Linked DNA regions of Astyanax mexicanus. Each later gene encodes a partner of the first gene's protein in a complex. Links are inferred from orthologs where the notes say so. Each region holds a gene or a part of one and is shown in the gene's direction. Other genes may lie near its edges. The genes, in order: os9 and herpud1.

Region 1 (17,010 bases):
TTTTATTATTGTACCACAACAATACTTTAATTCATACAAAAAAAATCTACAAACCTACACAAATGTGAACTAAGTGACATATAACTATACATTTCTTTGAAGCAGAATATTTAATTGTAATATTAACCACATTTGCAGGAATTTAGCCCTCATTTGCAGAGAATGTACAGTCTGAACCTGTGAATGTGTAGAAAATCGCACAGATCCTAAAAGAGTTAGAGAGGAACTGCCAAGACAGACATTGTGTTGTTAACAGCAAACAGATGTATGGGAATGGATAGGCTATACAAGATCCTTCACAGAAAGAGAAAACAAGAAATGATTTCAGCTGTCTCAGAGAAAGTTTTGGTCTTATATTTGGAATATATAGAGCATTATAAGGCAAACTGCAGACAGTTAATTGCAGGGTTGACTAATACAAATAAAAATATATAAATAAGACTGTTGTTTGTGAATATCAAAGCATCCAGGAAATGTTGGATATTTGATTTAATACTGTATGTTACGTTAATCAATTTTACTTCTTCTGAACCAAATATGCTCTCTTAAACTGATTCATGCAAATATATATAAATTGAATTTAAATTCGAAATTACATTTCTTTGTGTGTGTGTGTGTGTGTGTGTGTGTGTGTGTGTATGTGTGTGTTAATGTGCATGCGCGCGCAAATTATGCTGTCCATTTCTGCTGATCCTCCTCCTCCACCCTCCCTGGGGTCTTTCCATGATCACACTGTCAACATCAGCAGAGCCAATTCTCAGACCACGGCACTATTGATGGCCTCAGTTATTGACATTAAATCATATTTATCAGAATTAAAGCATATCAGAAGAAACATGCTGCATTCAAGTGAGGTAAAAAGCATTAAATAAATATTAAAAGGAGTGAGGAAATGAGGAATTGCTTTTTGCTGTGAGTTTTAACAGTAAATCTCTCGAAACAAGAATGCTGTTCTGTGTCGTTCTTTTCTGTGTGTAAACACAACCCAAATGTAAAAAGTTTAAATATAACATGTTCTGAGCAAGTTCTGGGTGTTAATATAAAATCAGAAGAACACACATCTCTTACAAATGTTTAATTTAAGATAAAAATGAAAATTGCGTTGATGTTAAACCCCACCGTAAAATAGACTTTTTGGCTGGAAGTAACAAATTAAAATATTAGAAATTTATAGTGTGTCAATTAGCATTATGACATTTTACAAATGTTCACAACTAAATGTACATCATATACAACTATTTTTACTTAACAACTTTAAACCAACCAAAAATATCAACATTGTTGATAGTTGCTGACACTACTCTACATCCAATTTATGTTCTTTTTATGTTATCCTGACATAAAATGTCAGACCCTACATTTAACCAGATAATAATGAATGATGCTAGTGGCCAGCTGAGTTAGTAAGTGTTTTTAGTGCATTTTAGACATCCACAGCAATATACAGTAGGCAGTTCTGGATAAAAACCGTGGCATTAGACGCAGGAAGATCACAAATGTGCCTCTAGACGTGGTCAATAAGAATGGATCAATAGGGAAAGGGCCATTATGAGAGGTTAGTAGTGCAGCCACAGCAATTAGTTCTCAGGGGCTCTACTGTACCTTCTGTTTAAGCATGAGTACTACATTCTGGTATCACATACATTATACTGACCAAGAAAAACACACTGAAATATAACCACGGAGTACAACCAGAAAGCCTAATACAACAGAGAGTTTCCTGCATGGTTTTTACTTTTGAGTTTATTTAAATAAGGGAAGTTACTAATAACTCTCTATATAACTAGATTTGACTTGTATTAAAAATCCTTCAGGTTTAAAGTCTTCATCATCACCATTCCATATCCCATGCATTCCCATACCCTCTCACATGCATCGCTACATCATTGCAATTCGTGAAATGAATGAGATAATGGAGATTGTTATCTATACGTAATAAAAGCTGTAATGTGGCCGTGATTTTAATATTTTAAATAAAAGCTGCATGCAAGTTTTAAATTAAATGTAAAGAAAACAGTAGCTTTGGCATCATTAAAATTGTACTCTCTGTTTACAAATAAAACAGAAGTTTATTTGAACTAAAAATCGTAATCGTATTGGAGGATCGCTCATATAGTTGGAGAATATCGAGATGACTTTTGTTAAATATTGCCCAGCCCTAGTCCTGGCAGTAACCAAGAACAAGAAGCAATAACTCAGGTTATGGCTTATCCTCACTCCCTATAGGAGGCCAGTCTCCTCCGCATCCAGTTCAGGAATGTGCCTACTCACACTATCGTAGGGCGTGGTCTGTTGAATTAGACCATCTAAAAGGCTAATAACAATCCTAAGTGATGGCTCTTAGTGGGTGGGGAGGTAGAAATACAGAGAGAGAAGGAGAGAGAGAGAAGGAGAGAGAGAGAGAGAGAGAGAGAGAGAGAGAGAGAGACGATTTGGATGCAAACACACCCATTCATTCGTTAAGTTCACCTGTAATAAACAAATCGCCACTATCAAAGCCAATAGGCTTTATGTAAAAATGGCCTATTAATTTAATTTTCTTTGCATAACCGGCCTTAAATTCTGTGTAACCATCCCATTACTGTAGGCTCTCGTTAAAGCCCCATGCGCAGACCCTGTGGAAGTGCAGTGGAGGCCTGAGCTGCTGTGCTATCGTAGCAACACGCTTAGTTCATGAGAGGGATGTACAGTATGTGCAGAGAGCGGGCATGTGCAGCGATCCTGCTTTAGCGAAAACCACTCAGCACGAGACGCGCCGCGGCTTATTATTACAAGCTGCACTGGACGACGCGAGATACGCTGTAAGCCACCCAGCACATGCAGTACTACAGGACCACAGCAGACCCAACAACACGAGCAAATAAATTACATGCCAGGCCTATCGCTCGCGTTATGATGCATCAACGCCCGAAATTCCACCCTGGATGATAAACCATATTTATCACATTTTCCTAAATCGCATAAATCTGTCGTTGTGCGCGTAGTGCTGTGACTATCAGCTGCAATTATTGCATTTGCAAACGTCAGACCTGGAGAAATCAAATCAGACCAGCAGCAAAAAAAAAAATCAGCTGCCATAAATAACCCTTACCTTTCCAGCGCTGGAATCCTCAACAATGTCCTCTGAATCATTAGCTCGGAATTCCCTGCATTGAATCACTGCCCGCTGCTGATGGGGGCAGAAAATCCAGTGGCATGACATCCACCACTGATATAACCGGGATGGAAGGAGAGATGGATGTAGACGGTGAAGCTACCCCTCTGGCGGAGGCTAATTCCAACGGAGTTACTGCGCCTCTGCAGCGCTGCTAATAGCCATCCCCTCCGCCACGCTGCTCCCACTCCACCCGTATTCCGACAAGCTCCCATAACCCACCCTCCTCCCCTCCCCCCAATAGCAAAGAACATTTAATAAACGCTGAGTTTTTTAATGCTTGCATTATTTAACATTGCCCAATAGGCATCGGTTAATGTTGGGACTCTGAATATACATTCACAATGCTTTTACGTGAAAGGTGCTTTTCACAAATAATAATATTAATCATTGTTATTAAAATTCCCATTTCTACACTACAAGACCACAGTACATGCCATAGGAGTAGAATACAAACAATCATATTAAGTGTATGTAAAGTTAAATACAAGCCTTATACATATCTAGCTCTGGAAAAAAATAAGGGACCACTTTCGTTTCTGAATCGGTTCCTCTGATTTTGCTATTTATATTTTATATTGTGGCGGCTCTGGGTTGTGTGTGTGGCTGCCTGCAGGCATGTTTCTGTTCTCCTGTGTGCGAGGATGACAGGGGTGGGGCATCTCCCTTGGGAGGGGTTATGCAGAGAGGGTGGGCACCACTCTGGATCTGCCATCTGGGAGACACACAGCTGGGTTGGTGGCCTTTGGGCAATTAGAGTTCTGTGGGTGAATGGTTTTACCTCTCCTAGTCTTGTTAAAGACTGTAAGTGAGTGGCAAGCCTGTTTCATAAAAGAGTTTATTAGCATTCATCATGTGTCTCACGTGTCTTCCTTCCTCTTCCACGCCACATTTGGTGTCAGAAGTGACCCTGCTGGAAGATATTGAGCTGCTGGCAGGGGAAATCGAACGGCTGAGGAGGAAGACAGCGGACCAACGGACTAGAGGCAAGGCTCTCCAGCGGAGTGGACTCGGACCTGACGGCGCCAGTGGGCTGTTCGGAGGTCGTGGCCGGGGAGAGGACGACACGAGCACGGCGGCGCTGGCTCCCAGAGCGGATGGCGCGAGGACGGCGGAGCAGCAGTTACAGCCTTCATTGTACTGTACCGTGACGTTTTACGTGACAGTGCCGCGAGACAATGTCACGTGGACCCCCTAGTGGTGCAGGCCAGTTACTGCAGTGGCATGCTGTGTCACGGGACAGTGTACTGTGCTGTGACGTTTTACGTGACAGTGTCACGTGCACCCCCTAGTGGTGCAGGCCAGTTACTGCAGTGGCATGCTGTGTCACGGGACAGTGTACTGTGCTGTGACGTTTTACGTGACAGTGCCGCGAGACAGTGTCACGTGCACCCCCTAGTGGTGCAGGCCAGTTACTGCAATGGCATGTTCTGTTACTGGACAGTGTACTGTGCTGTGACGTTTTACGTGACAGTGCCGCGAGACAGTGTCACGTGCACCCCCTAGTGGTGCAGGCCAGTTACTGCAGTGGCATACTTTACATAGCAGTTAGACAGTGACAGTGGGACCTGACAGTTTTATTTACACTTGCAGCGCGTAAAAAAGTGTTGTGAAGGGGAAACGGCTCTTTACCTAGCTGAGCCAGGCTGTTACTTCTGATTTCAAATCAAGGACGGCTGCTGTGCTTTTGACTGTTAATATTGCGAGTTAAATCAGCTGCTTAAATCGCATGACAATATGTGAAGTTCATAGGATATTCATTCAGACAGTCATACTATAATAGCAGCTGTACTTGACCATTTGCTCTTAAGAGTTCTAAAAGTTCAAATGTATCTTATTCATTTATAGTATACTATTACATTATTGTGCTATTTAAACTACTAATCACTACTCATTATTTATTAACTACTTGTATTTACTGTACTGTTTTATTCAGTTTAAACTGCATATACTATAGTATTCTTAATTGATTTTTAAATTACTCAAATTTACATTTACTAGACTACTTATTGCTCTATTTAGAGTTAAATCTATTAATAATGTTATACTAATTAATATTATTGTAAAACATATCTTACTTTATACAATACTACACTTGGTCATACTTTTTACTATAAGTCTATGGTTACGTGTACCCCCAAGTAGTGACCAGCAGCATCTCGAGACAGTGCCACGCGCAACCATGAAAGAGTTGCGTAACAGCAGTGACATGCGCCACTAAAGGACTTTTAAGATAAAAGCATGTCTGCCGTTTCTGGCACATGACAGCATTAATTAATCAGAGAGCATGTAATAATAGTATTTTTTTTTTTTTATGAACTGACACACTTATATATGTATCATGTATATTTACATGTAAACTCACATGTGCTACATCATTATGTCATTGTCATAAGTTTATAAGATATTATTAAGTTATTATTTTAGAAAAAAACAAAAAATCAGAGCATGTAATACATCCGAATGAAATGTACAGGACAATTATTATTACATTATTAAAATTGTATAACACCCATTGCAGAATAAAAATGGTTAATATAAAGTATTTGTTATCATTCTACTGCAAAATTAATGCTCTCTATTTCTTTATTTGCACGTAGCACCGTCACATCCATGTAAAGTATGCCACTGCAGTAACTGGCGTGCACCAGTCGTGACACGTGACACTGTCTCGCGGCACTGTCACGTAAAACGTCACAGCACAGTACACTGTCCTGTGACACAGCATGCCACTGCAGTAACTGGCCTGCACCACTAGGGGGTGCACGTGACACTGTCTCGCGGCACTGTCACGTAAAACGTCACGGTACAGTACAATAAAGGCTGTAACCCCCTCTCGGACGGCGGCGCTGACTCCCAGAGCGGATGGCGCGAGGACGGCGGCGCTGGCTCACGGAGCGGATGGCGCAAGGGCAGCGGCGCTGACTCGCGGAACGGACGGCGCGATGATGGCGGCGCAAGCCTCCAGGATGGCGGGCTTGACGGCTCAACCCCGCCTTACCCCCTACGACGGCAGCGCTGACTGGACAGCCTTCGGAGCTCAGCTTGAGATCGTGGCGGGCGGTGCGGGCTGGACGGACGCCGAGACGGCAGCCAACCTCTGCCTGGCGCTGCGGGGCGACGCGCTGAGGGTACTGATCGAGCTCCCCGCCGAGTGCCGCTGCGAGCTGCCTGAACTGACGCGGGCGCTGAGAACACGTTTCAGCCGCCAACCGTCGGAGGCGGCCGCCAAAATGCTAGTGGCGGACAGACGCAGGAATTGCCGGACTCAGCGGCTATTTCCTGAAATGCACATTGAATGGAGTGACGGTGAACGCGCTGGTGGACACGGGCTCGTCAGTCTCACTGATACGGACCGAGCTAGCGACGGAGGTAGCGGCCGAGTTTGTGACTGACAACAGCCAGCGCATCGCTCTCTCTTCAGTCACCGGGGATCCTATAGGTCTCCTAGGATTAACGGAGTTGACGATTGATGTCGGCAAGGGGCCCTTTCAACAACAGTTCTGGGTAGGACGCATCAACGACCCGTGCATTCTGGGCAAGGACCTGCTCTCACGCGTCGGAGCTATCATTGACTGTGCACGGGGCTCGGTGCTGGTGACTGGACTCCCCGTAGAGATACGTGACGAGTTAGGGGTAAGTGAACTGGTGGGAGGGAATGTGTGTGATTTGGTGCGTGATACGGTAGAGGGTCCGCTGGATGCGTGGTTGAGTGTAGATCCGATAGAGGAGATGCTGGAGCGCAGTTGTGAGTCCCCAACAACTCCGTTTGCGCGATCTGATCGGCCGTTTTCGCACGAGTTTCGCTGTGTCTGAGCGCGAGTGTACTAAAACTAGCCTTGCGGTGCATTCGATAAACACGGGTGACGCCCAGCCCATCAGGCTGAGGCCGCACCGTCTGGCGTTAGCAAAGCGTAGCGGCGGAGCAGTTAGTCCGCGAGATGGCGAGTACAGGCATTATTGAGCCTTCGAGCAGCCCGTGGTCGGCCCCAGTGGTCCTTGCGAAAAAGAAGGATGGAAACTGGCGCTTTTGCGTGGATTATCGGCGACTTAACGCTGTCACGAAGCTTGACTCCTACCAGCTCCCCAGGATCGACGATACGCTGGACCAGCTGTCTGGCTCAGCCTGGTTCAGCTCGTTAGACCTGAGGAGCGGATATTGGCAGGTACTCCTCGCGGCGGGGGATAGGGAGAAAACCGCTTTCTCGCTCGGCTCAGCCCTATGGCATTTCACGGTGCTTCCGTTCGGATTGTGTAACTCGCCGGCTACTTTTGAGCGTCTTATGGAGCGTGTTTTATGCGGGGTTCGCGGTCGTGCTGCGTCGTTTATTTGGATGATGTCTTGGCGCACGGAACCGACTTCGACTCCGCACTGTCTCACCTTGAAATGGTGGTCAGCGCGATTCAGGCGGCTAACCTGAAGCTCAATCCGGCAAAGTGTAATCTGCTAAGGCAGCGTGTGAGCTTCCTGGGCCACGTAATGAGCGGTGCTGGCGTGGAAACCGATCCCAAAAAGATGGAGGCGGTCCGTGACTGGCCCACGCCGCGAGACGCTAAAATGGTTCGCAGCTTCGTGGGGCTCGCCTCGTATTACAGGCGGTTTATTAGGGGGTTCGTGGACGTGGCAGCGCCGCTTCATGCTCTGACTAAGCCTAGTGTGAAATTCCGCTGGTCTGACGAGGCGGAGCGGGCATTCGAGGAGCTAAAAAGCCGCCTGTGCAATGCTCCGATTCTAGCGTATCCGAAGGTGTCTGAGAGTTTCATTGTGGATACTGATGTCAGCGACCACGGCCTCGGAGCAGTCCTGTCGCAGGTTCAGTGCGAACATCACACTGTCGTGGGGGGAGGTGGTGCCTCTGGGCCCGATTGCTAAGGCGTTGCGCTCCAACTGGGCTAGTTTTAGTTTGTCCGACGGCGTGCTGTGCCATATCTGGGAGGATCCGGCGAACGGGCAGCGCCGGTAGTGCTGCTGGCCTGTCGCTCCGCTGTGCAGGAGACGACGGGATTCACGCCGGCTCTGCTTATGTTCGGGCGCGAACTGAGGACGCCGGTCTCCCTGGCTTTTGGGGCGCCTCCTGACGGGGGCGGGTACGCTTCGGACACGCCCACTTTTGTCTCGGACCTTATGTCTTCGCTGGAATTAGCACACCGTCTAGCGCGCTCCAACCAGTCTGCTGCCGGACAGAAGCAGAGGCGTGCGTACGACACACGCTGCTTTGGGGACCTGTTGGCGGTGGGGGCGAGGGTTTGGCTATATAACCCTCAGCGGAAGAAGGGACTGTGCCCGAAGCTCCAGTCGGCCTGGGTGGGTCCGTGCTTGGTGCTGTCCAGGCTGGGGGAGGTGGTGTATAAGATCCGGTGGGGCAGACGCACTATGATTGTGCACCGTGATAGGCTGGCCCCCTATAGGCCGAGACTGTCAGACACTGTGGTGCGGAGCCTGCCGGCCTTGCACTCGTGCCTGACCTGAACTCTGGCTCTTCGGAGCCGCTGGCAGGTGGTGCCGTGCCCGGCCCCTCCAGGCTGCCGCGGGCACGGAGGCCGCCCGCCCGCCTTAAAGGTCACCTTCCGCGAAAATCCGATTTTTCTTGTTTTTTGTGGAATACAGTAGGTCTCTCCGAGTTGAATGTGTACACCTGCACATTAAACTGTTTTGCAGCCCCCATTGTCTGCAGGAGCTAAGCAAAGAAATCCCCCCTCCCCCCCTCCGAAAAACGGGTGAATTTTGAATTATCTTTCTGCCTACGTAGGCAGAAACTCACAGACCAGCCCACCTTGGCTCGAGAAACTCCCAGAGGCGGAGCTGAAGCGACGCAACATCACCGCTCATCAGTTAGGAGGTGGGAGGCAGTGAGCGGCAGAGCGGTGGAGGGGCGTCGCAGTGCTCCTAGCCAATCAGAGGAGAGATATTTGCAATGCTGTTTGCATGTATGAATATTCATGAGCAAAGCTGGAATCCGGTCATTTTGGACACACCCCTAAAACAGTCCATTAAAAAAGAGCTATACAGAGACACCTGAGCACTTTTTTTTTTACAAAAACGGCTCACATGTCATTCATTCATACTAGAGACCACAACTAGACATTTTAAAATGAAAGAAAAAACGACGGAAGGTGAGCTTTAATGACTTTGTTTGCAACTGATTGTAAAAAAAAAAAGTTCTGTTGTACACGGGGTTTGTGTTGGGTTGGTGGGGTCGCCGGGACGGCTGACCCTTGGGAGGGGGGCTATGTGGCGGCTCTGGGTTGTGTGTGTGGCTGCCTGCAGGTATGTTTCTGTTCTCCTGTGTGCGAGGATGACAGGGGTGGGGCATCTCCCTTAGGAGGGGTTATGCAGAGAGGGTGGGCACCACTCTGGATCTGCCATCTGGGAGACACACAGCTGGGTTGGTGGCCTTTGGGCTATTAGAGTTCTGTGGGTGAATGGTTTTACCTCTCCTAGTCTTGTTAAAGACTGTAAGTGAGTGGCAAGCCTGTTTAATAAAAGAGCTTATGAGCATTCATCATGAGTCTCACGGGTCTTCCTTCCTCTTCCACGCCACAATATGTTTGTGTAAAATTAACATTATTGTTTTATTCTATAAACTACAGACATTTCTCCCAAATTCCAAATAAAAAATATTGTCATTTAGAGCGTTTATTCGTAGAAAATGAGAAATGGCTAAAATAACAAAAAAAAAAACTCCAGAACTTAAATAATGCAAAGAAAACACGTTCATAATCATAACGTTTTAAAAGATCAGAAATCAATATTTGGTGGAATAACCCTGGTTTTTAGTAACAGTTTTCATACATCTTGACATGTTCTCCTCCACCAGTCTTGTACACTGCTTTTGGACAACCTTATGCCACTCCTTGGTTTGAAAAGCTGAAACTCCAACCAATTTTTTGAAATGGCCAAATCAGAACATCTCTAATAAAGAGGTTAAAACCTCGTGAGAATCTATTAAAGTTTTGTTTAAACACCAGATGGCGCTCCCGATTGAGTCGAAAATGAATGGGTTAATATGGTGCAAAAGATAAAAATTGAAGTTTTAAAATGTTAAATACTTTTCATACTGAAAAATGTACTAATTTCCTTAACCAACAACATCAATATATAATGTTTCAGTACGGAAGATATAATTTTTAAAGCTTTTAAACTCCAGTTATAAGTCTTGTAATCATGCTCTGACACCAACCAGTCAGCTCCCAGTAGCACTAATGCTAGCGCATGTGTTGCCTTAAATCCATTTACTGAAGAAAACTAAAATGCATAGATTAGTTATCTTAGATTTTTTAACAACATACATCATTTTATTTTTCAAAACAGAAAGAATATCCTGGACAAGTTTATAGCTATTATTTTTAATTTGAGGTTTTATTCGTTTAGCTCAATTCACCCCCATTCATTTTGGACTCACTCGATGGCTCCCTCTATCGGTTGCAGTGATTTTCTAATATAACGGCGGGGATAGTAAATGGGTAGTACGCTCTCCATAGACACCGGCTCTGTAACTAAATTATCGGTCCAATAAATACCCTTGTCGTGGCTATGGAATAACCTGTTTAACTTGTTATCCAATGAGAACACACTGCTGGCTTGACTGACGTTTTCTCTACCCAATCGCGTAGGGAGGTTCTTCGACGTTGTCCAATCCGCGTGCTGTTTCGCACACGTCCGTTGTCTTACAACAAATAACAAGTGAACTGACAACGCCAGTTTGGGATGTGAGGGAAACATGGCTGCTTCCTTGGTTAGGTGTTTGAGGGGGCTGTATGTTTTGTTTTTGATATGTCTCCTTTTCGCCTCTGCTTTCCTGAATTTAGAGGAATTAAATGAAATGAAATATGGCATCCAGATTCTGCCAGACCCGGTTATCATGGGCCAGGTAAGTCTGCAGGCTGAGGTAGTTAGCTAAGCTAGTTAGCTAGCATTAGCCTGGTTCGTTAGCTTTACAACGTTATTTTGATAAGACAGCAACAGTCTTAGCACCAAAAACAACGACTCGCTGACCAGCTAACGCTACCTTGTCTATCTGGAAGAGCCTGTAGGTGCTAAATATTTACTGTCGTTATAAATTTCACTCTTATTCTTCATCTAAATTATCTTGGCTAAATATAACGGTTAGCTAGGCTATCCTCTTTATGTGTTATTAGTTAGTCTTGTCTGACAGCTGCTAGGTAATTTATATATCGTGTCACAGTGCTGTTAACCAGGCATGTTTTGGCTTATACGAGCTTTCTGCTTGTTGTGTGGCATAAAAGAGAAATTGCATCTCCATCATATGTGGCTTAGTTTGGGAAATTGTATTCACCTGTCCTCTGTAGCACTAACTGTTTATTTGTTTGCTATGTTAGTTAACTACGGTTTAGATCGAGTAGTTGTGTGGTTATGTTAAATCTACAGCTCTGGAAAAAAATGAGTACCACTTAAAAATTATTCTTTATTAAAAATTATTCTGAGTTTCTTTGATTTTACCAAACCAAGGAAGATGGATGATCACAAGCTGTCAATCCAAGCTGAACTGCTTTAATTTTTTGCACCAGGAGTGGCATAAAGTTATCCAAAAGCAGTGTTTAAGACTGGTGAAGGAGAACATGCCAAGATGCATGAAAACAACTGTGATTAAAAGCCAGGGTTATTCCACCAAATATTGATTTCTAAACCTTTATGAATATGAACTTGTTTTGTTGCATCTTTTTTGTGATTTTAGCCATTTCTCATTTTTTGCAAATAAATGCTCTAAATAACAATGTGTGTGTTTTTTTTTTTGGGGGGGGGGGGGGGATTTTGGAAGAAATGTTGTTCGTAGTTTATAGAAAAAAAGCTATATTCATTTTACTCAAACATACTTATAAATAGCAAAATTACAGACACTGATTCAGAAACTGAAGTGTTATTGAGAGTTATTGAGTTATAGCTTCCTGACAGTACGCCGGCACTACTAAAAACTGTCAGGGAGCTAGCTGACAGTACGCCGGCACTGCTAAAAACTGTCAAGGGGCTAGCTGACAGTACGCCGGCAGTATTAAAAACTGTCAGGTAGCTTCCTGACACTATGCCGGCAGTTTTAAAAACTGTCAGGGAGCTAGCTGACAGTATGCCGTAGTAGTAATACTGTCAGGAAGCTCCCTGACAGTTTTTAATACTGCCGGCGTACTGTCAGCTAGCCCCCTAACACTGCCGCCCGTCTCCCGGCAGGCAAAGATCCAACCCCAACTGGTGTTATTTGAATATATATATATGTATATATATATATATATACATATATATATATATATATATATATGTATATATATATATATATAAGATGTATATATTACTAATTAACAGACTGTAGAATACCTATTTCCTAATAATTTGTGCTTTTGTGTTCAAATGTCACTTATCTTGCCCTGTCATTATTTCTCTGCCAGGTGGAGGATGTAATGTTGGTCTCCAACAAGTACAAGCAGCTGTATGAGTGTCGCTTACCTGCCCAGGCAGTCCGCTTCCACCAGGATCCTGTACCAGAGGCTGACTCTCAGGGCTACAGTGGACCGGGGATCACTGAGCTCCTGAAGCCCATGCAGACTGCTCCCTGCCTTGTCAAGGTTTTAGCCTAAACTCTTTATGTGCACAGTCTAACAAAAACTGTTTTGTAATAAAAAAAGTCTGAAAAAAAGTTTTTTTGAGATTGTTTTTAATATGTTCTCCACACAGACCAAAGACTGGTGGACCTATGAGTTCTGTTATGGCCAGCACATTCGACAGTATCATTTGGAAGGTGGAGTATATAATCTTTAACATATAGTGTGTACAAACAAACACACACGCACAATGTCACTCTCTTTCTCTTTCATTCTCTCTTTTACCTTTTGTTACATATTATTTTTCTATATTGTTTAGCATTACATTGCAAACAGCACTACACATTTGTCATTATAAAAGGTGTATATATACACACACGCACACCCTTACAGACATGTCTGTTAATTTCACAAAGTATTATTTTTTTATTTGTTATTATTTCAGATTCAGAAATCAAGGGTGATGTCCTCTTCCTGGGTTATTTTGAATCAGAATTTGACTGGACCAATGAAACTGCAAAGGTAAAGCTTAGTTTTTTGTAAAATAGTAAAATTACTCTTTATATCATAAGAGAGAATTTACTATACCTAATTTTCTCTTTATGTTTTAGGCCACTAAACAACACAAGCTGAAGAGATACCACAGCCAGTCTTATATCAATGGTTCCAAGTGTGATCTAAATGGCAGCCCAAGGGAGTCAGAAGTCAGGGTGAGACCTCTTTGCAAAATCATTTAGGAATGATTTAAATAAATGGGCACTCATGATTATGTGAAGTTGCTTCATAAAAATGTGGTTGCTATGGCTGTGATGGAATTTGATTACCTGAAATGTGCCTTTTTCTCTTCTAGTTTGTTTGTGAGGAGAGTTCAAGTGATTTTATTGCTCGTGTGGATGAACCTCAGTCCTGTCGCTATGTTCTCACCATACACACCTCTCGCACGTGTCAACACCCACTCCTGCGCCCACCCTCCTCTGCCAAACCACAGGGCATTGTGTGTCAGCCTGCTCTCAGTGCTCAGCAGTACATGGACTATGTCAAAGCGCAAGTCTGTAAGTGCAGATCTCACAATTCATAATTATTATTATTATTTTTTTTATTTAATCTGTGAATTCATTTTCACCTACCACATGCTGCCACACTCTTTCTCACCCTCTCTGTTATGCTCAATGTTTCTCTTTTCTCTTTTTCTGCTGGTGGGTGCTTATGTCGGCCTTTGGTGTCTGTCCTCAGCTGACACTAAACGTAAAGTGGAGCAGATCTCAGAAGAGCTAAGAAACCTGGATCAAATTTTGTCCAAAGATCAAACCAGTGAGACGACAGCAGCAGCAAATGACAAAATAGAAGAAGAGTCTGCAGCATCCAGTTATAAGCTGGCCTCAGAGACTGAGGATAAAGGTCAGTATTCCAAGTCTGTGGCCGTATGTTATTTGTTCCTCTTGTTATTATCCTTCTCTTTCATGTGTGTTGTTTTTTTATGAGCAGAGGCTGTAGAGGAAGAGGCTGAATTGGCCAATGTGGAGCCAGATGATAAAGATTTCTGGGATGGTGTCACCAAACCAGAGAGTACAGATCAACAGACACCTGAAGCACAGGTATGTTTAATGCCAAGGAACATTGTTTGCCTAAAAACCTTGAAAGTGGGTATGTGTGTACTGGACTACAAGGTTCGAATAATTGCGGCTATCTGTCCCATAGTTACATTTTTGGGGAGGTGCGCATCAGGGTATGGCGTAGGTTATGTGGTGGGAGTGGTGATCTTTTAGCATCCTAAGCTTACTAACGCTGCATTCAAATCCAATCAACAATGCTCCAAAATAAAGTTGAAAGCTGGACTGTAGGAATGGTTACTCCAACAAAAGCAGGAAAACAGAAAAAAAGACCACCTCGGCATGTTTTGACATTGTTCATTTTTTCTAATTAAGCATTCCAAGAGCTGCCATGCTAATGGACGTTTAAATATGTTTCTGCAGGAGTTTGATGATTCTCTGGAAAACCAGCCTCAAGACAATGACCGTAAGAAAAATGTAGTCTATATCAACTTAACAGATAAAGGGGAAAAATAATTGTCTGGTTGTTCTAAAGCAACTTCAGCTTTATTTACTTGATAGATTAGTGTAGGTGTAGCAAACATACTGATAGCAAACACACTTCTCCATGTTACCAGTCTTAGGATACTCTAACAAAAAGGAGAAAAAACGGAAAAATCTTAGTTATTTACTGGAAGTTTGAAATGATCTTGCTACTTCAGAGAACACAAACTTTTCAATAATCTTTCTGTCTTTGCAGTATTCGGGGAGGAAAAGTTTAATTTTAAAATAATCACAGACCCTGCTGACCTAATGAAGTTTGTTCAGCACCTCAGGGAGAGCAACAAAAAAGTGAGTAATGCAAGCAGTCTCATCTCACATGTGTTTAAACTGATACAGGGAAATCTAAATAACCCATGCTGTGTTTCTTTTAAAAAAGAAGGCACATCACAAAAATGAGAAAAGCCAGTCACCTTCACAAAAAAGTGAACCTGAGGAGGCAAAGATGAAAGAAACCGAGGTTGACAAAGAGGAAGGAGATGAAGATGAGCAACTTCTTAAGGAGTTTGAGGAAGAAATGGCTGATCTGACTGTGCCTCCTTCCAAGATTGAAGAAATAAAAGAAGAAATGGAGAAAGAGTTTGATAACATCATAGAAGAGGTACTGGTTTCCAGCTTTTACCACTACCCATCAAATGAAAAAAAAAAAAAAACGATCATGAGGAGCAATTGCTCAATACAAATGTTCTATCACAGGCTGCAATAGCACAAACTGGAAGATAAAATTACTTTTTTGCTGACCCAAAAAAATTGTCTCATCTTTCTGTTGTGATCTATTACACCAGTATTTGCTTGGCAAGCTGTTGAAGATTAGTTTAAGGAATGGAAAACCCTGGGTACAGTAGCTTAGTTTTATTTTATATATATTATTGCTTAACCTTTTTGAGCTGCATATATAGTTCTTATTATAGAGTGGTGCACAATGTAAGCTTTGAACTTACTAAACCTTTTTTGTGTGCATTTCAGGCTCAGCAGGAATTAGAATCAGAGGGCCTGAAGGGGGAATTTGATCGGTCCCAAGCAACTCAGACTTTGGAGAACACTTTAGGCAAACTTCTGGATCGTTTGGAGGATAGGACGGGAGAGGATGCAGAATCAGAAGATACAGAAGCTCATACAAACCCACAAAAAAACACACAAGATCCACCTGAGACAGAAACAGACTCTGCTAGTGGTGGTCCCAGTCTTGTCCCCAAAACCCCAGGTAAACAAAATGATGGGTGAGTCAAAAAAGTGCTGAAAAATGATTCAGTTCTGGCCTGGATGTCTGGTATCCTGCACAGTTTGGTGTCCCTGCTCAATCATTTTTTGAGCCTATAAATTATGCAAAAAATGTATTGGACACCAAAATGTGTTGGACCGGCTATCCAGAATCAGAATTCAGTAAACCAGTATAAGGTTAATTGATGCATATTTTGTGTAAATGGAAAATGATATTTCCATGTTATGTTTACTTTTAATTTTCATTTCATACATTTATTAAATCACATATGTTTATAAGCATCTTCACTGTTCGAGCATAACATTTATGATCGCTTCTTGTTTTTCCACACATTATCTATTTTTTTTTTATTCTTGCTCCACTGAGCATATAGGAACAGACCCACTCATACCAGCACAATAAACACCAACACTTTGCCAGTGTCACTTTGTGGTGGTCTCTCTTGTGGGGTCCAGAACATTGAGAAACAGGGTAAAAGTAGGATAATAACATATGCAGAGAAAGAGAAGGACTACAGTCTGTAATTATAGAAATTTAAAAGTCGTTTATATGCTCAATGGACTTGGAAAATGGATAATGGTGTAGAAATGCTTAATTGATGTATGTAGATAAGCATACATCATGTTCATAATCTGTCAGCATTCACTGTTTCTGACTTTGCTTTTGTTTCCCTGTGATAGTGTGATCGTTTATGAAACACCTATCACCTCATCTCTCAATAAATAAAAATAATTTCACCATTGAGTTGTGAACCACATACTGGAAAACAGGAAGGGTAGCTTTTTTTTTAATCCCCCGCCATATAGGGTAACCCCCCCCTCCCTCCCCCTTTCTGTGTCTTGTCACCTCAGCACGGGAGCTTGGCAATGGGGAGCAGGTAAAAATCAGGGTGACTAAGTATAAGGTGGGTGGAGACGTGGCTGCGGGAGCGGTTGCCGGGGGCGATGGTCGTGAGGGAGGTGTGCAGGTGCGAGAGCTGGGCGAAAGTGACC
Region 2 (16,379 bases), on another chromosome or scaffold:
CTCAGCCACCGGCATTCTCGCAGGGGCCAATATCTCTGGAGACCTGAAGGCAAGTTTAGATTTCCTCCTGTTCACTCACAATTCACCCTATCAGCTCAGCTTCTCATTTTTAAACAAAGCATGTTCAATTGTTTGACGTTTTAAATTTACCAGTACTTTGTGATAATACATCTGGATAAATCCCTTGAGATCCCCTTGGCTTACATACAGGCTGCTAGATCTTTGCATCTCTGTCCAACGGTTATTCTCTGCCTTTCTAAGTGACTTAAAACACCATATGCTTGTAGGATCCCAATGTGGCTATCCCCCGGGGCACAATGCTAGCCATTTTCTGGACCACTGTGTCTTATCTCATCATCTCAGCTACTATTGGTGAGTTGTGGTTATATAAATTGAAACTAAATAAATTCTCTATAGAAAAATGGCTTACCTCTGTCATTTGTTTATGAAAAATTTCAGAACAGTGTCTTTTTTATAGTTTTTTTTTTTGTTTAATCTTGTTCAAGATGAAAACATACTTTGATCAGCCCTAACATTAAAACCAATAAATATTTTGTGTGGATGTCTTATATAAGCTTAATAAACAGTAGCAATTTGAGCAGCAGTAGCTCTTTTATAGGATTGGACAAAGTCGGATGGCTAGGGCACCTTGTTGATTGCTGGTTCACCAGTTGTACATTTAATAGGTCCATTTAATGAGTCAGATCAACTACTGATTCTTATGCAAGCCTATTTATTTAGCTTCTAACACATCAACTTTAAGAACTTACTGTTCATTTGCTGCCTAATATTTAGATCCCACAGTATGACCAAATATTCAATGTTTTTACATTCACGGCTTTACTGCTACGGCTGATTAGTATATATATTTAAAATATATACATTTTATAGATTCCACATTTTATGCTTCATTTGTCAAAAAACAGTAATTGTGTAGTAAAATGTGAATAAAATGCATACCTGACTTTGTATGGTCTTTTCTGTCTCAGGCTCCTGTGTTATCCGAGATGCCTCTGGTAGCCTTAATGACACATTAATGTCTGGGCCTGGTGCTGAAGACTGCCTGGGATTGGGCTGCAGCTATGGCTGGAACTTTAGTGACTGCATCACCAACAAGACCTGCACTTATGGCCTTAGTAACTATTATCAGGTACTGATAACTCCTTTTGATTGCCAGTGTCAAACCCTTTCATCAGTTAATCATCAACAGCTCATTATAGGGGATGTCAGGCATTACTTGCTGACCCAGACCATGTAATATTGCATACAGAGTTCTAAGATTTGTTAAGTTTCAGTAGTAATGTGTATTTTTTTTTTTGCTTCAGACTATGAGCATGGTGTCTGGATTTGCTCCTCTGATTGCAGCTGGTATATTTGGAGCTACTCTGTCCTCAGCACTGGCTTGCCTGGTTTCAGCACCCAAAGTATTTCAGGTGATTAATATGTGGCAAAAAATATTGTATGATTTATAGTGTGTAAAAAATGTAAATTACACTTAAAAAGGTTTATTGATTAAACCACTGGGTTATTGATTAGAGGGCTCAGGCTTAAACCCCCTATCTGGTAAGATGCCATTATTGGCCATTATAAGTGAATGAGCCCCCAAGCCAGGCCCCAACCCTGTCCACTCCAGGCCAGGGCAGTATTAAAATGATAACCTTGTGGTCTGAACCCTACTTTCTAGGCTAGGATATGCAACTGTATGAGTATTATTGTATTATATAAGTGTATGAGTACATCGTTGCATCACCAGGGTAGAAAAACGAGGCTGGGACATACTTCCGCTGAGCAGTTTAGAATTTAGATAGAAGATCAGAATGACTGCCAATAAACAGAAATACTCTTCTAAAATGACAGGTCCATTGTCTGAGGCTCTTATCCACCCTCCACCCCAAATTCAGGAGGGTTAACAATGCTCTGCGAGCAGAAACACCACAAAAAAATAAACCACATACAAATCAACATAACCCTTCATAAATCAACACAACACCCCCTAAATATCCCCAATCAATTAAAAAGGGTGACCACTAAGCAAACTGGGAGCTCCCCCCATAAGTTCCTAAACCCTCCCACACTCAACACAGCCACACTTAACTAACCAACTAAAATAAGCATGAACTCCCCAAAGAAACTAATTCTGGTGTAATAATAGTGATTTCCTGCTGTAAATCAATATAATTCAGAAATAATATATACAAGTGATTCTACTTTTTATCCAGGGAGCTTATATTTTTATCTGTTCTGTTTTATTCCTCAGTGCCTGTGCAAAGACAGGTTGTATCCGGTGATTGGCTTTTTTGGGAAGGGCTATGGGAAGAACGATGAGCCATACAGAAGCTACCTCCTAACCTATGTGATTGCTGTTTGCTTCATTCTTATTGGTAGGCAACCTTTTTATAATCAGTCCATTAGCTTATGTATAGACCTAATTTAGACATTAGATTTACAGTTATACTAAAAAAGTTTGGAAAAAGACATGAATTTTACTGTTTCAGCTGAGCTGAACACCATCGCTCCCATCATCTCCAACTTCTTCCTGTGCTCCTACGCCCTCATTAACTTCAGCTGTTTCCATGCCTCCATCACCAACTCTCCTGGTCAGTCCCACCACACTAGCAGGAACTCTGTATGCATAAATTTCCAGATACTCACAATCTGATGCTTAAGACATCTAAATATTATATATCCAAGTATGAAAGTTTAGTGCTTTATGGCTGTTTTGACTCATTTCGACCTGTAGCGCAGTTCATAACTGCAAGACACATGTGACTTTCATTGTGTTTATGTGCAGGCTGGCGTCCCTCTTTCCGCTTCTACAGTAAGTGGGCGTCTTTAGTGGGTGCTGTGGTGTCGGTCATCATCATGTTCCTCCTCACCTGGTGGGCCGCTCTCATAGCCATAGGGATAGTGATCTTTCTGCTGGCATACGTGCTTTACAAGAAACCATGTAAGATCAGTACACAATCAGAAACAAAAAGTTGCCCAGTCAAGCCCATGTTCTTTCTGAGTAACTGCTGATTTCTTTTTCATTTTAGCTGTAAACTGGGGATCCTCAGTGCAAGCAGGCTCCTATAACATGGCACTGTCCCAGTGTGTGGGTCTCAACCAAGTAGAAGAACACATAAAGAACTACAGGTGTTTTTTTTATTAAGTAATTCTTATATTTCTGACATTTATTCTTTATCTTTATTTTCTGTGTTCCGCTTTCATTCTTCTCTTTTTACCTCTTAGACCTCAGTGTCTGGTTCTCACTGGGCCACCCAGTTTGCGGCCAGCTCTGGTGGACTTTGTAGGTACCTTCACCAAAAACCAGAGTTTGATGTTGTGTGGAAACATTGTTGTTGTAAGTCTTTCTCTCTTTCTTAATCTAAGTTTAGAAAGGTATTTGCATGTATTTGTATTTATATCTCTGCTTTCATGCCCAATAGCAAGTGGGACAGGAACTAGTATTGTGTGCCATGACTTTTGCTTTGTCCCTTGGTCACAAAATAATGCTACACTGAACAGAGAAAAAAACACAACCAATAATATTCTAAAAATATGCACTGTTAAAGTGTCTGGTAGCACTTTGCACTACAACTTCATATAACATAAATAAGCATTGAATAATGTATTTTTATAACACAGACCTGTAAGACCAGTAAATGTCATGAAGTAAATGACACTAGTTCATTTTCAATCCGAACATTTATCAAAATTATAAATAATTCAAAAAGCAAAATAAGTTTCACTATATCCAATACAGTTATGTGAAGGAACTTTCAATCACATGGGCTACCATGATTAAAACCAGGAGCCTTGAAACTACCAGAATGGAAAAAAATTACTTTACAGCAAGATACAGTCTTTTTATGGCTGCTTTATTTGCAGTTTAGAGATGCCAGGCAGGATGAGCAGTTTCCCATATAATGGACCTGAAATCTCTGTGCCACCTGAGTTATGTTCACACATCTGGAAGCAAAAATGCTGCAAACAGTTTTGGGAGAGCAGTTCAGAGTCATTCAGACAAGCTTTGAATTTGGTATTTACTTTGAAAGCTGTGTGTGATAATCAAACCACTATCGGCCGTCTGTGTCAGTCACGGTCGGCCATACCAACTGAGACAAGAATCACCACTGCTTTATATGTGTGGACAATTGTGCAGAGGATAGAATAGTGAGGAAACATTTGGCATTTATCATAACAGCAGTTAATTGTTGTGTAGCAATAAGAATGAAACTAATAAAAGGGTCTGTCTTATTCTTGGACAGGCAAAAGGCACTTACGGCTTGATACATCATAGTTTATTTTAAAAAACAATGTTCATCACTCTTTTTTTGCTATTTGGCTTTAGTGATATTCTGACCCTTTGGGAGTTTTTTTTTATTTAATGTTTTTAAATTTGAAAAAAACCCTCCACTGTATTGATAAACTGTGTTTTATGAAAAAGCCCAGGCATTTATGCATAAAAAACATATTTTAAGGGAAAGCAAAGGCCTTATAATATCTACTACATTAAAAAATGCTGCTTTATAACAGTGTCCTTATGTCTTTACTATATAACATGGCTCTTATGTCGGCAGAATGCAATGTCATCTCAATTACTGATGTGAACTGTTCGTACTGTTCAAATACAGTGTTGCCTTTGTGTTTTATTGTAGGGTAATAGTTGCATTCGTAGTTACCCATGGGACACATGCCTGCTGCGCTACAGGCTCCAAAACAATTGCTTCATCTGCACAGCCCATAAATACATCACTGCCAGTACTATAGTATGAATGGTATCCCAAAATAGATATGACATAATCTAAGCAACTTTCTACTGGATCATTTACATCCATACACAAACCTAATATGTGCCAAACCTTTCCCCAAAGGGAGGACCTTCACCTGATGCTGTGGATGCTGCCAACAGTAGCAGTCATGTGGCGTGGCTCAACAAGAGAGGCATCAAGTCTTTCTATCATGGAGTGGTTGCTGATGATCTGCGCACTGGAACCCAGATGTTGCTGCAGGTCATCCTCAGCTTTCCTACACAATACATTCATTTTACATTAGCAGAAATACAGTTCAGTTTAAGTCTAGCCTTGTATATGCAATGATTGTATACACTGTGTCTGATTCTGATTTGCCTCAACAGGGTGCAGGTTTAGGTCGTATCCGGCCTAACGTCTTAATGTTGGGATTTAAGAAGAACTGGACCAAGTGTCCACCAACCAGCATAGAAAATTATATTGGAATTTTACAGTAAGTACTTGGTTTTATCATCTACTTCTGCTTGTAACTACATTTTTAATAATACAGATATGCAGTACATTACATTATGAACATAAAACTCTCTTTCCTAGTGATGCATTTGACCTACAGTATGGAGTGTGCATTCTGCGGATGAAGGACGTTCTTGATTTGTCTTATCAAATGCAAGCACATGGTAACAATCATTCTGTAATTTATATATATATATATATATATATATATATATATATATATATATATATATATATATATATATATATATATATATATATATGTATATAATTCTAAATTTGCAACTGTTTCACAGAACCTGTGTTCCAACCACGCATTTTTTTCTTTTATGCAGTTAACCCAGGGTTTGATCCAGCTACAGAACCAGGACTAGATGCCAGAAACATCAGCACATCAAGTATGCATAGATCAGGTTAAAAGTAAAGCTAAGTGATAGTAGATGATGGTAGATGTTATGTTGAAATATTTTACCCAAGTAGAAGACTGTATTGTGAAAGAATGTCTAGTCATGCATAGGAGATAAAAATAAGAAAAAGAGAAAAATAAGGCCTGCAAGTGAAATGTTTTTTTCTATGACTGTTGTGTGAAGATATATGTACATATTTGTGCAGATTGTACATAACTGTCTCTGTTTCAGTGGATCCTGAATCGCTTATAGCCATGACTCAACCCAGCACCGTCTTTCAGACTAAGCAAGAAAAGAAGACTATTGATGTGTATTGGCTGTTTGATGATGGAGGTGAAGCTATTTTCATTTGTTTGTATTTAATGCTTAACTAATTAGACCCAGTATGAAACAGATGTCTAGGTAGTAATAATGCATTGACCAGAAACAATCATCAGATTGCAAAAAGAAGCAAGGGCTTTCATGGGTGGCATATAGTCTAAAAGGTTCAAGAACCACTGCTGTCTAAAACTGATGCAACTTTGGCTAATGCTGTGTTTTGTCAGGCCTGACGCTACTGCTGCCGTACCTTCTGAAGCGTAAGAAGCGCTGGGGCAGGTGTAAAGTGAGAGTGTTTGTGGGAGGAGAGATTCAACATGCTGAGGAACAGAAACAAGAGTAAGTCAAGCAAAAATGAAACACTTATCTGGATGAGTATATTCATTTATCACTGTGAAGAGAAATAAAATAACATAGCAATACGTAAAGTTGTATTATTTATTATTCATCAACGCTGTAAAACATAAATGCAAATATTAATCAGATTGTCTCAGTGTTTAGGTTTGTCCACTTTAAATTTTTGGTTTCCTCAGACCTTCTGATCCTCTCTCTTTATCTCTTCATCTCTATAGGCTAACAGCTCTCATCAGCAAGTTTCGCCTTGGATTCCATGAGATTCAAATCCTCCCTGACATCAACGAGAAACCTCAGCCTGAACAGTATTAGTCCTTTTCTCACTTACATTTTTGTGCCACACTGTGCTTTTTTTACATAATATGCATTTACATGGTGTAACAGCTAATTGTGACAATTTCTCCCGACTTTGACAGTGTTAAGAAGTTTGAAGACCTGTTAGGGCCATACAGGGCACATGCTATGCAAAAGAATGGAGAAAGAGGTGCCCAGACCTTCAGTGAGTGTCCGTGGACAGTGTCTGATGAAGATTTTGAAAAGAATTTGGCAAAGGTAACCATTTAAAAAAGTTTTAAGATTTAGATATATAAAAAGGTAAATTGGTCTATATTCATATAATGACAATATGGGCTCTTAGTACATAAAGGTGATAGTAATGCAGTTTGTCAATAAATTAGACGATAGATATTAGATTTTTGGTCATGTGACACAGTGGGTTACACATGCAGTATGTAGATCGAGCATGAACACACGAGACGGCTTGGGATTGTCCACGTCTTTATTAGTGTTGTGAACTGAACACAAGCTTGCTCATGGCAAGGCAATCTGAATTATCTGAGTTTGAGTGTAGGTGCCAGATGGATGGGACATGGGTCATGTGTATGGAACATAGGTCACAGCAAAATGTTATAGGTGCCATTACCTCCCACAATGAACAGCACAGTGTGTGGTAATGATCATAACCTGCGGCATCTGGCTAGATTTGTCCATCTGAACGAACAAATGACTTTGGCATAAATCTGCTTTCATTTCAGGAGACCATATACACATATCACACAAGTCAATGTAGCATTCTTTAGCTTCCTTGAAATATGATGAAAATTATTATTATATTAGTGTATGATACAAATCTAAGTTGCTTAGTCAGCCAAGACAACAAAAACAACCATCCAAATACTGCAAATATAATAATAATGACATTTTGTTGCATTTCTGTAATGCTTCTATGCATTTCTGTGTGTTTTTCCAGTCTTTCAGACAGATCCGCCTTAACGAAGTCCTAAAGGACTACTCGAGAGATGCTGCATTGATTATTGTGTAAGTTTATATCAGAATTTTACAGCTTTACTGTCCCAGTGCTTCTACAGTTTTTAATGATTGCTGAATTTGTTGGTATGTGAAAAGTAGCCTCTACAGACACTTGCGCCCAAAAGACTTAATAAGGCAAGGATCCATTTTTTGTTATTAATGTCTTCATTACCTGAAGGAGATCCTTGCTTTTTGCTTGGCAGGACCATGCCCATAGGCCGGAGAGGAGCCTGCCCGAGTGCACTCTACATGGCTTGGCTGGAGACCGTGTGCCGTGACCTGCGACCTCCAGTCCTGCTGGTCAGGGGGAACCAGGAGAATGTCCTCACTTTCTACTGCCAGTGATCAACCTGCCAAAATCTTATTAGCTGCAGCTGTGAAGTGCAGGACAGGAGACTGGTGGTCCCTCTAGAACTATGGTTCATAATCTGGGGATTCTGACGTAGTCCCTTGGAGGAGAGGGATGCTGATTTTAAACCCTAAAAAGGGGTTGCACAGTACAAAAAGGGTATGAATCCCCGTTCTAGAAAATGTAAAATAAGATGGTACTCACTCTAGCACTTGAATTTGTCTTTTTTAACTAATGAACTGTTGCTAAAATGTTTGAGTCATTATAGGACTGATCCAAGTGATGTAATATTTTATTTGATTCCTATAATTCTGTGCAAAATATTTCTAGAATATGTTATATTATCTGAGAAGTTGAAGGTTTTGTTGTGTTTAGTAATATAATTTTATAACTCAGTTTTTTGACAATAGGGGTGGTCTTTACTGTAAATGTTTAGGTGGTGGACCCACTTTCAATCCAGCATTTACATTAGCATGTGTAAAACTGCCAGCATTTACTTACATTTTCTACGTACACCGGTTCCTCACACACTAGGATGTCAGTTTTATATCAGATGAATTACTTGCGCAACAGCAGCATTTTAACCATAAACTGACCAGTAATGGAATTTGGATAAGAAAATGTACAGCAACAAATAATGTCCAGCCCATAAACAGTGAACATAGTAAAGTAAAATCAGTAATGTATTCATCAAATGCATTTTGTTATATTAAAGTGTATTAAAAATTTAAGCAATTAGCCTTCTGATTATTTCTGCTTTCTGTACTTCTACCTTGTTACCTCCTCTTCTTACATTGTTTTAGTAATTCAAATTATTTTTTTCAAATATTTGGATCATTGTTCAAAAGATCCAAATCACCTTTTAAAACATTTAAGGCATTTGTTAAGTATTTAAATCAGATTCTAAAAGACTTGTAGAGATGCTGGTCTTTTAAACAGAAATTTGAATCACCAACATTAAAGATTTAAATTTTGTAAAAAAAAAAAAAAGATTTGAAACACTTTTTTCTTTAAACTATTTTTTTTAAAAACTGATTTGAACTATTTTAAAATAGGATTTGAGTCTATCAAACCATGTTCAACTATTTGATCAAAAGATTTGAATAGTTTTGGAAACTGATTTGATATTTGCTAAATAATGTAATTATTTATCAAAAGACTCAAATCACTTTTAGAAAGGGCCATATTACTATATATCTAAGGGAGAAACTCTGTGCTGTATCATCATATTTTTTAATGGAAGTAAATGTAAAAATATTTAATTACATTGTCATTTTTTTCATATTAAGTCATTTTAGAGCATTTCTAATGGTCTATTCATTGTTCATCAATTCACTATTTCCTTTATATGTATATGTATAATATCCATTATTCTTGGATCCAACATGCTCATAGCAAAGGCAGCACTAGAGCCAACAAAGCAAGTAAGAGCTATTTGTTTCTAATTTCACGTGATTCTGAACACTTAAATTATGTTACAATTACTGTTTATGGATGATTTGTAAAGTAAAAAGATCAATATCAAATCTAATATAAAAATGTTAAACACAGGCATCCAATGAAATGGACATTAAAAAAAGCTATTAAAATATTAATAGGATTTTAATTGGATTTTATTTTTATTTTACTTTAGACTATTAGAGACTCCTTTTGTGTAAATTGCAGGAAGAATATTTTTCACTGGCATATAATTCAGGCTTAACACATTAATACACTAATTGAGGAAGGCTTATCAATAAATCAAAAAATAGATCAGCATTATAAAACAAGTCATAATAACAGAAGAACTTTCTATTTTTTGTATTGATGCTACTAAGATTGTAGAAGTGAATTAAAAAGACCGGAAATTAATTAAATAAATATGTAGGAAAGCTCAGTTTTGGGTCTGAAATTTTTGCTTGTGAATAAAATATTTTGCGAGTAGAATATAACATTTTACAATATATTCTAAAGGTTTATTCGATGAATCATTAAGATAAAGGTGATATTTCATCATACTGGTCAGAGTAGCTAACCGAAGTGACGCGGCTCGGGGGAGTTTATTATCTAAGCAGGATCTCGCAGCGAGTCTGCGCACTGCGCTGCCTGTCTCACAGGCTCCACGTCGAAGCGCGAGCGGCTCTTAGCCAATCAGGCGCGGCCACACTGTGTTTTGGAAACAACACGCCCGAGTATTTCACCTCCATCAACTTCCACCGTGAGAGCCGAAACCGCGGGGGACAGCTTTATTACTCTGTACTGGAGAGCGAGGGAGCTGGATACACACGGAGCTGCTCTTTAAACCCAGGCTGGGGGGGTTATTAGGCTTATTTTGCGAACATTGTGGAGACGGTACCGTAGCGTTATTGACGAGGTTAGCCAAGCTAGCTAAATAGCTTAGCTGTTGACAGAAGAAGAAAGAGAGAAAGAACGAGAACACAGAGAGAATGGAGGACCTGAATGTTCAGGAGAAAGGAGAGATATCTCTTGTGGTTAAAACACCCAATCAGATACATGGCGACCAGCTGGTGGAGGGTGTAAATATTAACTGGACGGTGAAGGATCTGAAAACTCATCTGACAAGAGTTTATCCATCCAAACCGGTAAGTCCTGGGTGTGTTATGGTCTCACTAGCTAACGAGAAGCTGACCGGTGTTCTGTCGAGTTATGCTACGCGTCGATATGTGCTTCCGAACGGTACTGCGCATGCGCCGACATAATTTTTTTTAAATGTTTTCATGAAAATACTGTTGTTTTTCTTGGGGCCATTATACATGAGATTTTGATGATATTGTTAATGATATTTACTCGAGTGTTACAAAAAGTGTATACGGCAGTTAAAAAAAATAATTGTAAACAAATATAACGTAAAATGAAAAGTTACACAAACTGTTTTTAATTACCTAATATGACCTTAACTTTACCTGATACAGTGATTTGGTCTATTTTAGTTCCTTAGCTACCTAACGCTACACGTCTGCCAGGAGCATTTTTCTAATATAGGGCTTTTTATGGTGCTTTGTTGTTGTTGTTGCATTTTTACCTGTAAATATACACTAGAGTAGGAAGCACGATTTGACAGGGTAAAGTACAACTTGTCAGAACACCGGCTAAAGTTGACATTGTTAGCTGTGTAAGCTATAGCTGTTTTACATAATACAATATGTAAAATACTGCTTGGGTGCAGTAAAAGGTAATAAGAACTTGATATGTCATTGTATGCCTGACTGTTACAAAAGTGTATATTGCATTAAAAATATACAAATACATAAATTGTTTCTAATCAACTAATATTACTTTAACTTTACCTTATACAGTGATTTGGCCTATTCTAATACCCTACCTAACGCTACACGTCTTACCTTTAAAGTTACACTATGGTAGGAAGCACGGTTTGACAGGGTAGCACAACCTGACAGAACACCGGCCAATGTCATTGTTAGCTAACAAACCTAGCTAAACTGACAAGTTTGATAAAGCTGATAACGTTAGGTAGCTAACGCTAGTTATTTGTTAACATTAGCTACTGGGGCGGTTTATCGTTTGGTGTAGCATAAAGTCGGTGTAAACTAGCTGGTTAGCTAATAGCGAATGTAGCTTCAGATAGAGCTCTGTTTTTGTACACCACATTCCTTCGCTCTCCGCACACACTGTTCCTGTCAGTCAGCTGACCGTCAACCAATTAGCCACCACAGCTAGCGTTAGATAGGCTGCTTCATGCTGTATTGTTAACTTCTCTGCATTTTAGCATTATTTAATGCTAGCTAATATGTCTCCTGTGGGTATTTCCCAAAACAGGTTTTCTCAGTTTGGCTACAGTTTCAAAATTTCCAACAGTGTCACTCATATTGTACATTCCTAATGTCTAATCTAAAGTTAATTTTCTAGGTTACATGGTCAACTTGGAAAATTTGATGTTTTATTTAATATCATATCATTATTTATTATTATTTACAAAATTCTTAAGCATTCTCTATTTAATGTTTTATTGGTTTTAAAGAAATTGCAATAAACAGGGAAATAGTACAATAATCTCAACAAACAAGCAAAAAACATTTGTTGGTAACACACCAAAGAAAATGAGCAACAGTGTTATAAGCACTAAAATATTCTATAAAATAAATAAAGCAATAAAAACAGAAGTATAAGAAATATTACACAAAAAAATAGATGGATGTTCCACAACATAGAATTGATCAGTTTTGCCAGTTAACTCAAGCCCAAAGCAGAGCCTGTCAATTAGGAGAATTTATTAGTCAGTCCTAAAAGCTGGGCTGATGTTATCTGGCTAAACCTAAACAACACTAAACACTTTTCTACATTGTAAAGTGCCACCAGGTCTTTATACAGAGAAACAAGACTATAACCTAGCACATCCAGTGACTCTGTCACCACTCACAATATCTGTGTTATACAGCTTATGTTGCATACATAATGTTACATGTTTTTTGATTCCTTTTAATTACCTAAAGTTTAACATCATCTGTAAAACAACTCTTTTATATATTTGGGGATTTTTAAACATTAGTATTGACATTTCTAACTTTCTTCCTGCCAGCCTGAGAAAGACCAGAGGCTTATCTACTCCGGAAAGCTGCTTCCAGACCACCTGCATATCAAAGATATTTTCAGACAGGTGAGTTTTTGGCATCTGTAAGTTTTCAGTTAGGTTACGCACCTGAATGTTATTAAAGCTATGTTTCTTCAAGACAGTTACACGTTTTTAATTATTTGTGTGATTTTGTGACGTTACTTTAAAACTTGCAAACAACAAAGGCCATACATGTATCAGACTAAACAAAGGCCTTTAAGCATGCATGACTAGACCTCTTACCTTTGATGTTTGGGAGAACTGTTCAGTGACACTTAGATGAACTTAGTGAACTGTCCTACAGGACCTGTAACATCAGCATGAACTGCCCCAAAGAAGCTACTTTGAGACAGTTTGGCATGTCCTGACAACAAACCTATCCTCCAAATATGTTCAGAGGGCCAGGCTGTTTTTACTGTTGTTCCAGCTGCCACATAGAAGCACTAAACACCCCTTGTGGCCCCTCAGTCACAAAACACATGCACACAAATGTTTACGCTCTGTTTTGGAAATGCTCTCCTTTTAGAAAGAAACTTTTCTTTGTCTGTAATGGCATTTTTTTATCAGATTGAATTATTAAATAGTCTTGCTCAAACATTTTAAGTGGCTCAGAACTTCTCTTACTCTTCCATTCCTTTAAAGCTTGAGCCTCATTATTGCTGCACATTATTGCTTGTAAATAAGATTTTACGTCAAAAGAGAAATATTGCAATTTGTGACATGTCTGGATATGAAGGGGGTTGAAAAGAATGACAGTATTTATTAGAAACAGTTATTATGTTACATTACATAACACATAGTAGTTTTGTTTGTATGGCACCCACAGTTATTAACAATAATCTTAAATGCATTTTGTTCATTAATAGTTTACACAAAAGCACTGTACACAATTGTTTTTGCTACTTTATAATACTGAACCTGACAGAGCTTAATCTAATATTAATGTTAATCTCTTTACAGATGGACACCGTACCCATTATTCACCTTGTTTGTGCTTTCAAACCCCAGCCTGGTCCTCAGCAGGGTGCCATACCCAAGGTAGGTTTTTTTTCTGGGGACATCTTTTTTATCCATTTTAGTATATACATATAAATGTACTTTTATACATTTTATTATACAAAATAATAATGTAGGTTATTGTAAGTTCTTCAGATTTTGACTGCAATATACAGTTAAAATGGGGACCTGAGATTTTGGAGTGCACAAAAAATGAACTCACACTGCCAGGCATTCCTCACACTTCTGTGAGGTTCTGTCTCATTACCAGCACCAGTGTTGTTCTTCGCGGCATCACAGCATGCTGTGCTTCAGTGAGTGCTAGAGCCTGTCTGAGGAAGGCAGTGCTAGCTCAGTGGGTGGCAAGGAGCACGATCGCACAGCTGCACTCATTATAATCCCCTGGAGAGCACAAATTTTGCATCAGATTTAAACCGCCAGTTATTTTCAGATTTCAGAGTTTCAGTGTGAATGTGTTTTGTGTCCTCATTGCACTTTAAATTTTTTTGTATTCAAATCAACTTTTGTCCCTCATTTCTGGTGCAGGTCAAACCAGCAGAGCAGCAGCCCTCTTCGGCTTCAGCTCCAGCTCCCGCTCGGCAGAGCACAAACTCTGCCGCTCCAGCGCCATCTGTGCCTACTGTGCCCTCCACCAGCGGCCTCAGACAGCGGGGTCACCCCGCCCCTGCTGTGCCCCATGCAGCATGGCCTGCCACAGGCACTGGCACGAGCACATCCACGTGAGTTCCCACTGTTTCCTGTCTGCCTGATAATGACTGTCAGTGGTTGGTACAGGCTCTGGGGGTGAAATGTACTAAAAAATGCAACAAAGAACATTTTACCTGCATAACATTTTACCAAAATGACAGTCTCATTTCTCTGATTCTAGCTGTTTCAGAGATAATGTTTTTCCTTGCTTGTTTAAGTGTATGTTTTCTGTTTCCAGGCCAGCAGCAATGAACCATCCAGCCTTCCCTACTTACTCACTGTACAGTCCACAGCAGCTACTGTGGCTGCAGCATATGTATGCTCGCCAGTACTACATGCAGTAGTAAGTATTAACCTAATTATTTCTTAATTCCTTTCGATTCACAACATGAGCATGGCACTAAAAACTTGTAAAATATATACATATGCATATGAACTATATTGCATTCAACCAAATCTCTAACTGGGATGCATTTTCTATGCTCTAGAACATTAGTGCTATATCAATATCAGTGTGTAATAATGTATATCACTCAAGCTATTGTCATTGAATAATGCAGATTCTAAAGGCGCCAGCTGGCCAGAGCTGGACTTTATTAGTGATAATCACTAAAGAATCACCACTACTAATACATTTTAAGTGTCAGAATGTTGTAATCAACATTGTATATTGTGAAAATGTCTTTAAATATTGTGATATGTTTACCATATCACCCACCCCTAATTGCGCATGATTGCTGTATGCTTAATATTGTAATTTGTCTTTCAGCCAAGCTGCCATGGCAGCTGCCACTACTCCTGTGGCCCCTCCTGCTCCTTCTACACTTCCTGTTGCTCAACATCAAGCTGCTGTACCTGCAGCTCTGCCAAATCAGGGCCCGATTGACAACCTGCCAGCCAATCAGAATGCCCCAGACCCTGCCTTCATCAACCCGGAAGGAGCCAATCAAAATCTGCGGATGAATGCACAGGGTGGGCCAGTAATGGAGGATGAGGATGACGTGGAGCGTGATTGGCTTGATTGGGTTTACACTGCCAGCCGTTTTGCTGTGTTCCTGAGCATCGTTTACTTCTACTCCAACTTGAGTCGCTTCATCTTAGTGATGAGCAGCCTGTTCCTCATGTACCTGTAAGTGGCACAGACAGCATACTGCATCATATTGATAAGCAGAAAAATAAGCTAGTTGAGTATTTATGGTGGATAAACTGGACCATAAACTGAAGAAGTGTCTGGGTTAGCTTCTTCTTGTTACACTTTTAGGGCCGTCATGCTATGTCATTAACGAATGCTAGATGCTAGGAGTGCAAGATTTTGACCAAAAATGCAATGTATGATATCGCTGTTGGATATCCAGATAATCATGTGAAATGTGGTAATTAATTTAAATAATTAATTTAATTTAAGCACCTCTACCCCACGTGAGCACAGTACTACAGTACAGCACTAAGAGTTCTCTCTGTTTTCTGAACGTGGGATTATTGGAAAAAAATTAAAAGCATATCACAGTAATAATGAACTCCGTTAGTACTTTCTAGAAAATAATTGGTATATCTGGTTCAGAGGACACAGCTCTATGTTTATAGTCAAGAAAGCGGTGTCCTCTGTGCCTTCTTGTAGCTTTGGACTGTGACTCAGCATTCTCCTACGCACACAAGGGAAGGAGGGAGATGAGGGAAAGAGACAAAAGGAAAGAGCAGACTATTGTCAAATAGCTCATTTATAGTGCCTTGCCTCTCTCTAGTCATTATGGTCACCATGCTCTGTCTGTATATGATTGTCCATTGGGTCTCGCACTAACTGCAGTGTTAGCAGTAATGCACAGTGTGGGACTCTCTTCTTCACCCTCCAGCTGCTCCGAGCAGATTAGAACTGTGTGTCAGCTCAAGGACCCACTGCTACAGCTTCAGATAAACTTTATCTGTGTAGACGTGGCACTGCGGATTGCGGGCTTTTCCATACGCTCTCTTTAAAGGCAATGATTAGCTTGGTTTGAAAGCACACAGAGCGAAGCTGACCTTCTCATACTGTCCGTAAACTTGACCTTGTGGTGTAAACAGACTCTGTGGATATTTCCAGCTGCATTGCTGTAAAAGTGTGTTTGTCGTGATATATGGAGTCCAGC

What was found.
Region 2: os9 (region 1) and herpud1 share a complex: the UniProt entries of both Homo sapiens proteins name them as parts of the HRD1 complex. The link is inferred for Astyanax mexicanus from reciprocal best matches to the Homo sapiens genes OS9 and HERPUD1.

What each region holds. Positions count from the first base shown.
Region 1 is NC_064412.1:17,468,890-17,485,899, forward strand, and holds the start of os9 (protein OS-9), read left to right. Parts: upstream 1-10,831; 5' UTR 10,832-10,875; coding exon 10,876-11,025; intron 11,026-12,553; coding exon 12,554-12,730; intron 12,731-12,839; coding exon 12,840-12,903; intron 12,904-13,151; coding exon 13,152-13,228; intron 13,229-13,317; coding exon 13,318-13,416; intron 13,417-13,556; coding exon 13,557-13,758; intron 13,759-13,939; coding exon 13,940-14,104; intron 14,105-14,191; coding exon 14,192-14,301; intron 14,302-14,679; coding exon 14,680-14,722; intron 14,723-14,995; coding exon 14,996-15,087; intron 15,088-15,175; coding exon 15,176-15,397; intron 15,398-15,762; coding exon 15,763-16,000; intron 16,001-16,869; coding exon 16,870-17,010. UniProt on the Homo sapiens protein: Lectin component of the HRD1 complex, which functions in endoplasmic reticulum (ER) quality control and ER-associated degradation (ERAD).
Region 2 is NC_064416.1:22,553,831-22,570,209, forward strand, and holds the start of herpud1 (homocysteine-responsive endoplasmic reticulum-resident ubiquitin-like domain member 1 protein), read left to right. Parts: upstream 1-10,101; 5' UTR 10,102-10,408; coding exon 10,409-10,564; intron 10,565-12,519; coding exon 12,520-12,597; intron 12,598-13,512; coding exon 13,513-13,590; intron 13,591-14,094; coding exon 14,095-14,288; intron 14,289-14,494; coding exon 14,495-14,599; intron 14,600-15,025; coding exon 15,026-15,385; intron 15,386-16,379. Other genes in the region: slc12a3 (solute carrier family 12 member 3), read left to right, coding at 1-49, 288-372, 990-1,150, 1,326-1,433, 2,258-2,381, 2,496-2,597, 2,792-2,947, 3,036-3,135 and 11 more. UniProt on the Homo sapiens protein: Component of the endoplasmic reticulum quality control (ERQC) system also called ER-associated degradation (ERAD) involved in ubiquitin-dependent degradation of misfolded endoplasmic reticulum proteins.